2 linked regions of the Neurospora crassa OR74A genome follow. The protein of the gene in region 1 purifies or fractionates together with the protein of each later gene. This does not show direct contact. Links are inferred from orthologs where the notes say so. Each region holds a gene or a part of one and is shown on either strand. Other genes may lie near its edges.

Region 1 (3,748 bases):
AAGCCTTATTTCCGGCGAACACGTCTGTTTTGAGGGATGCTTTCCACGGAAGTCATGAACACCATTTCGAGAAAATCATCAACCAAGTTAACTGAAAACATATACGTATATCTCACCACACTGATTCCCCTTCACTCCGTAGCGATTGCCAGAAGCTCCTGCCCAAACGCTCAACTGGAATATAAATAGGTAGTAGCTACATCACTTGCCAATTGGAGTGAGTGTTTATGATGTGTAAGATGCCCGGGGGCATGAAGTGTTATCATCTTTACCGTTGCGCAATCTGATCCGATCTGACCGATTTGGATTCAGGTTTTGGTTTGGGGGTCCAGCATCGGATAGACGGTAGGTCTTCCTTGTACTTCAGGGTTGGGTTAGGTAGGGCGGGTTGGGATCTCGGTTGATGGAAGTCGGAACTGGAGCTAGACCCGGAGCCGGAGCTGGGCCCGGGACCTGAGCGGGAATTGTGGGTCTCTTTCGGATGCCGTAAGTCCAGTACCGCAAAGACTCGGGCCCGCCTGAAATTGCATGCGAGACGGTAATTCAGGGTCTCCCTGCCCTTCGGGGATAAAGAGGAGGAAAAGCAAGGACACCAGAAGAATCGAATTCACACTCCTCCAGAGTGGCAACGCGTCTGAGTCTCGAGGCGTCGAGGTCTGCTCAGGCCTCAGGGTCCATCCAGCTCTGCATTCCGACCAAGCGTCACACCAAGGCACCAAACATAACCCTGCGGATGGGCAACATGTACTATGAAAACCACCGTGGTGTCCCATCGACGATACAAAGATTTACAAAAGTGTCGGTGATGACAGGCACTGAACTGAAATGACTTGGGCTCCCTGGCATGTTTCTGCGTGATTCACAATGACTGTACCTGATACTGAATGCAAATGGCCAAACCACGTGCTGCTGTGAGCAACGAACTCCGACCAAAGCTCAACAGTCGGTTCAGCCACCCAAAGAGTTGATGAGGTAAGCGATGCAAACAGTGGCACATGCAGCGGTGGGGGGTGGATTGTGACGTCAACCGAGAACGAGCGTCTGCCCCAACACGTGTAGCAATTCGACAAGTGCAAGTCGCTGATGGAAAAGTGTTTGCTGGATTGTGTGCATGAACGAGCTGAAACGGATGTGGCAGAGCAAGACGGTGAGGACGGACGGAGGGATGGATATTTTCTCACAAATCGCATAGTGAATCGTCTTTCATCTTTGCCATTGTTCTTTTTGAGGGTCTAGCCAAGCCAGCACTCGGGCCAGAGTTGAACAAAAAAAAAAGATTCCAAAAAGTTGTCGAATGCATCGTTTCGTTGGAGCGCTGACCAACCGATAAGCAGACGATAAGCCAGCCGTTGTTGCCTTGTGGCCTGACCGCTACCTACCTTTAGTGTATGTAGACGGGAGGTCTGGTAATTCCTTGCCAAGGCTGGTTCCTTATCAGATGGCTTTTGGCGGGCAGTATCAGCAAATCGTTATCAGAGAATTTGTGAAAATTCAAAGCCCCACCATACTCTAGGTCCCTGGCAGAGCCACTGTGAGTGAAGGACGGAGGGAGGCTCGAGTCCTTGTCGCCCGCCCCGCCGCTTTGAAGTTTTGGCAGTGACAGTGCAATCGCCCCCCCCACCTCTTCTGCCCTGGCAGGCCTGGTTGGGTACAAGCAAAATCGCAAGCCAAGAACGTGTACTGGACCCCCAATCATTCTTTGCCTTCGACCGAACCCGACATTTGACTTTGACTGTCCCCGTCTTGCTTGCTCTCTTTTTTCCTTTCCACTTCCCCTTGTGTGCTCGACGGTCGGTTTTTTCGTCTGTCTGTCCAGAGTGTGTGTGTTTTCGATCGGATTCCTTCTTAGTCCGCCCACCACTCCCTCCAGTCTCCATCACTATTTGTTTGGTGATTCTGTTTAGAGAGAACTAGATTCTTTCGACACCTTCTTTTTTTTCAACCCCCCCCCAAAGGTATCCCTTCGTGTTTGTGCATCGTCACCAACACAACTCCACCAAACCAAATCAACCACAGAATCATCACTCAAGATGCCGCCCTCCGCCTCCAAGCAGAAGCGCCTCGCCGAGAAGGCCGCCAAGGCCAACAAGGGCAAGGCCGCCAAGGAAGTCGAGCTCGATGCTTTTGGCAAGCCCGTCGTCTCGGATGAGCCCGCTACCAAGAGCGAGCAGATGGACGAGGTCAAGCGCCTCGCCCAACAGATGGACAAGCACGGTCTCTCGGATCGTGTCACCACCGGTGTCTTGGCCTCTACCAAGGCTTCCAAGGACGTCAAGATCACCTCCGTCTCCCTCGTCTTCCACGGCCGCGTCCTGATCAAGGATGCCACTCTCGAGCTTACCCTCGGCCGCAGGTACGGTCTTTTGGGTGAGAACGGTTGCGGCAAGTCCACCCTTCTCAAGGCCATCGCCGCCCGCGAGTACCCCATTCCCGAGCACGTCGACATCTACCTTCTCAACGAGGGTGCTCCTCCCAGCGAGCTCGGTGCCCTTGACTGGGTCGTCACCGAGGCCAAGAACGAGTTGGCGCGCCTCGAGAGCGTCGCCGAGAAGATTCTTGAGGAAGAGGGCCCCGATTCGCCCCTCCTCGAGGACCTCTACGATGTATGTATCCCCCAAATCCTATGATCACACCGAACTGGGCGCATTCACAATACTAACTCTGCCATCACAGCACATTGACAAGATGGATCCCTCCACCTTCGAGACCCGCGCTTCCCTCATTTTGACCGGTCTCGGTTTCAACAAGCAGACCATCCAGAAGAAGACCAAGGACATGTCCGGTGGTTGGCGTATGCGTGTCGCCCTCGCCAAGGCCCTCTTCGTCAAGCCCACCCTCCTCCTTCTCGACGACCCTACTGCCCATTTGGATCTCGAGGCCTGCGTGTGGCTGGAAGAATACCTCAAGAAGTGGGACCGTACCCTCGTCCTGGTTTCTCACTCCGAGGATTTCCTCAACGGTGTCTGCACAAGCATGATCGACATGCGCCTCCAGACCCTCATCTACTATGGTGGTAACTACGACACTTACCACAAGACCCGCGCCGAGCAGGAGACCAACCAGATGAAGGCCTACCAGAAGCAGCAGGATGAAATTGCCCACATCAAGAAGTTCATTGCTAGCGCTGGTACCTACGCCAACTTGGTCCGTCAGGCCAAGTCTCGCCAGAAGATTCTCGACAAGATGGAGGCCGACGGCTTCATCCAGCCTGTCAAGCAGGACAGAGTCTTCTCCTTCCGCTTCGCCGATGTCGAGAAGCTCCCTCCTCCCGTTCTGTCGTTCGACAACGTCACCTTCTCGTACTCTGGCGACCCCAAGGACGACCTGTACCGCCACATCGATCTCGGTTTCGACATGGACTCCCGTACCGCTCTTGTCGGCCCCAACGGTGTTGGCAAGTCCACCCTGCTCCGTCTCATGACCGGCAAGCTCTCCCCCACCGATGGTGTCGTCCAGCGCCACACCCACTTGAAGCTCGGTCTCTACTCCCAGCACTCTGCTGAGCAGCTCGACCTGACCAAGTCGGCTCTCGACTTCGTCCGTGACAAGTACCCCGACAAGTCTCAGGACTACCAGTACTGGCGCCAGCAGCTTGGCAAGTACGGTCTCTCCGGTGAGGCCCAGACCTCGCTCATCGGTACTCTTTCCGATGGTCAGAAGTCCCGTATTGTCTTCGCCCTTCTCGCCATCGAGTCTCCCAACATGCTCTTGCTCGACGAGCCTACCAACGGCCTCGATATCCCCACCA
Region 2 (3,748 bases), on another chromosome or scaffold:
TGTGCTGAAGACACTCTTGGATGCGGAAGTCTTGCAAGAGCTGATCAACACGGAGGAGCTGTTGGCGCGGTTCAAGAGCCTGTTGGATAAGTTGGATGGAGGCAAACATACTGCTGAGTGGATGGGCGAGGGCACTGCGGACCAGTATTTTGAACTGGCGTATAACGTGTTGATGTATTATCTTAGGCAAGTTTACTAAGTGCTTGGAATTCTAAGGCGGGGGGGGGGGGGGGGGGGAAGGGCAAGATACACTGGTAATAAACGGACGTGTGATCCAGTGTCGGCCTACAAGCCGTCCTGATGAATGCCTTGGTGGTGTAGCTACAGCATAATAGAAAAGCGAATAAAGAATATCACTAGCAACATCTGGTTAATGAAATACCCATTATGACAAGGTGAGGGAGTTGGCCTGCCCCCTTGGATGGAATATCGCACAAAATACACCAAAGTGGTAGAAAGTAAATACAGAAATTAGCCCAGCAAGTGCCCCACTTGTGCCTTAACAAGCAGGTGCCCCGCATTCTGCACCAACGAGTCGGTCACTGTACTTGTACGCGGGAGTGCAGGAGCTTCCACTTCTTTTTCACCACTGCACTGTACTGTACTGTATTTGTCTTGACTGCTGTCTCCAACAGTCTGTGCAGTGTCAAGTCAAGGGCTTGGTCAAAGCGACACCTCCTGGCTCCGGCACAAGTAAAAAAAAAAGTTTGGAGTGGCGATCCTTGTCTGGATTTTTCTGCTGAATCGAGACTCCTTTGACTTTGCGACTTCGACTACTTGGGATTGAGTTAGAGAACGGGACATGATTGCCGTTTTTTGACCGTAGACGGAGACAATACCAAACACTTTATACGGGTTGAAAGAAAGCGCATAGGCAGACGGTGTAAGTACAGGTACTGAGATAGGTACGTACCTGACCTCTATATAGTGTAGCAACAAACCAGAGCGGGATTCGATACAAAGAACAACGAAAGAAAAAAAAAAGATCCACGGTGCCAAGTACCTACAGTACCATCGATCCACTCTGCAGCACCACCACCGAAAAGTGATACAAGTGACAAGCCCTATCCCGTCGACAAGGGGGGACCTACAGCACCAAAAAAAGTACGCCGCCTGCCTTCTTTAGCAGCCAGCCATATCGCATATAACGGCCCAGTAGCCCCAGTCGGCCGCCCCACGAACCCACCACCAGAACCACCTAGCGAGCAACGAGGTCTTCACCCGGACTTCGACTTTCGTCACAAGGAGAGAAGGAGAGCCCATCAGGATCCTCTCCCCCGCCCATCCTACCGACGACATCCCCGCCTCAAGGTATTCCCCGGTCGACTACCAACAGTCCAGTTAGCCCAACATGGCGCCCAAGAAGAAGGGAAACAAGAAGGCCAACGATGACTGGGAGGCCGAGCTGGGCGAGTCCATCGCCCCCGTCAACAACAACGGCGCCGATGCTGCTGCCGCCTCTCCCGCTGCCGCCGACGACGAGGCCGCTTCCGGTGGTGGCGGTCTGATGGAGAGAATGCGCAAGGCCAAGGAGAAGCGCAAGAAGAAGGGTCTTGCCGACGACTGGGAGGCTGAGCTGGGCGAAGACGCTCCCGGCGCCGAGAAGCCCGCTGCCGCCGAGCCCGTCCCCGATCTGTCGGCCAAGGTCGCCGAGGAGGCCAACCTCGACGACGAGTTCGCTCTCCCCGAGAAGAAGGGCAAGGGTGGCAAGGGCAAGCAGCAGCAGCAGCAACAGAAGGCTGCTCCCGCCGCCGCCGCCAAGAAGGACGAGGATGCTGCCGATGAGGATGGCCCTAGGGTGTTGACCAAGGCCGAGAAGGAGAAGCTCAAGAAGGAGCGTGAGAAGCAGCGCAAGAAGGAGCAGGTGAGTACCCAGTCATTATCACTATTACCCACTAATGACTATACATACATCAGACACAAACGGAAGACTAACAACAACTTCTTTTCACTAAACAGGCTGCTGCTAAGAAGAAGGGCACCACACCCGCCGCCGCCGCCAAGGCCGAGCCCGCAAAGGAGGAGAAGAAGGCCGAAACCCCCAGCCCCGTCTCGACCCCCGCTTCCACTCCCGCCCCCGAAGCCGCCGCCGGTGGCAAGAAGAAGAAGCTCCCCGCCCACCTGCTCGCCCTCCAGAAGCAGCAGGAGGAGCTGCGCCGTCGCCAAGAGGAGGAGGCTAGGCTCCTCGCCGAGGAGAAGGCCAGGATAGAGGAGGAGGAGCGCGCCGCTGCCGAGGAGGCCAAGCGCAAGGAGGAGGAGCGCGCCCGCAAGAAGGAGAAGGAGAAGCAGAGGATCGAGCAGCTCAAGAAGGAGGGCAAGTTCATGACCAAGGCCCAGAAGGAGGAGAAGGCCCGCAACGAGAGGAAGCTGCAGCAGATGTTGGCGGCCGGTATCAAGGTCAACGCGCTCGAGGGTGAAGAGTCCAAGAAGAAGCCTGTCTACGACGACAAGAAGAAGAGGGCTGCTAACAAGAAGGTGAGTCTGTCCGGGATTCTTGCTACAATTACGGTATACTATGGACGGCGCTAACCAGTGTCTACTTGCTACAGAAGGACGAGGAAAAGGCTCTCGCCGAGGCCGCTGAGCGCGCAAGACTCGCCGCTGAGGCTCTGGTCAAGGAGCAAGAGGAGAAGGCCCGCATCGAGCGCGAGAAGGCCGAGAAGGAGGCTGCTGCCAAGGCTGAGGCCGCCAAGGCCGCCGCTGAGGACAGCGTCGACGAGGACTGGGAGGCCGCTGTTGCCTCTGACAAGGAGGATGTCAAGGACAGCTGGGACGCCGACTCCGACGAGGAGGAGGAGACCAAGAAGGAAGAGACCAAGAAGGAGGCTTCTAAGCCCGCCGCGGCCAACGGCAAGACTCAGGCCAAGAAGGAGGAGTCCGAGTCCGAGTCCGAGTCTGAGGAGGAATCTGAAGAGGAATCTTCTGAAGACGAGGAGGCTACCGCCAGGGAACTGGAGGAGGCCCGGAGGAAGAAGGAGGCTGCCGAGCGCCGCGAGAAGGCTCACCAGGCCGCTCTGGCTGCCAGGTCTGCGGACAACCTCCGCTCGCCTATTTGCTGTATTCTTGGTCACGTCGATACTGGTAAGACGAAGCTGCTCGACAAGATTCGTCAGACCAACGTCCAGGAGGGTGAAGCCGGTGGTATCACTCAGCAGATTGGTGCCACTTACTTCCCCGTTGAGGCCATCAAGCAGAAGACGCACGTCGTCAACAGGGACGGCAAGTTCGAGTTCAAGGTTCCCGGTCTTCTTATCATCGATACCCCCGGTCACGAGTCTTTCTCCAACTTGCGTTCGCGTGGTTCTTCGCTCTGCAACATCGCCATCTTGGTTGTCGATATCATGCACGGTCTCGAACCCCAGACTCTCGAGTCCATGAGACTGCTCCGTGAGAGGAAGACGCCCTTCATCGTCGCTCTCAACAAGATCGATCGTCTTTACGGCTGGAAGAAGATCGAGAACAACGGCTTCCAGGAGTCGTTGGCCCTCCAGAACAAGGCTGTCCAGAACGAGTTCAAGAACCGTCTCGAGCAGACCAAGCTCGCCTTCGCCGAGCAGGGTTTCAACTCGGAGCTCTTCTACCAGAACAAGTCCATGGCCAAATACGTCTCCTTGGTCCCCACCTCTGCCCACACCGGCGAGGGTATCCCCGACATGTTGAAGCTCATTGTCCAGCTTACCCAGGAGCGCATGGTTGGCTCTCTCATGTACCTCTCCGAGGTCCAGGCTACCGTTCTCGAAGTCAAGGC

Evidence for each region. The genes of interacting proteins can lie anywhere in the genome.
Region 2: the proteins of NCU08920 (region 1) and NCU05270 purify together in Saccharomyces cerevisiae (affinity purification with mass spectrometry, with the first as the bait; 3 studies listed by BioGRID). This does not show direct contact. The link is inferred for Neurospora crassa OR74A from reciprocal best matches to the Saccharomyces cerevisiae genes ARB1 and FUN12.

The regions. Positions count from the first base shown.
Region 1 is NC_026505.1:623,297-627,044, reverse strand, and holds the start of NCU08920 (ATP-binding cassette sub-family F member 2), read left to right. Parts: upstream 1-1,541; 5' UTR 1,542-2,030; coding exon 2,031-2,603; intron 2,604-2,673; coding exon 2,674-3,748. UniProt on the Saccharomyces cerevisiae protein: ATPase that stimulates 40S and 60S ribosome biogenesis.
Region 2 is NC_026504.1:5,514,612-5,518,359, forward strand, and holds the start of NCU05270 (mitochondrial translation initiation factor IF-2), read left to right. Parts: upstream 1-1,063; 5' UTR 1,064-1,351; coding exon 1,352-1,864; intron 1,865-1,959; coding exon 1,960-2,475; intron 2,476-2,549; coding exon 2,550-3,748. Other genes in the region: NCU05271 (hypothetical protein), read left to right, coding at 1-199. UniProt on the Saccharomyces cerevisiae protein: Plays a role in translation initiation. Translational GTPase that catalyzes the joining of the 40S and 60S subunits to form the 80S initiation complex with the initiator methionine-tRNA in the P-site base paired to the start codon.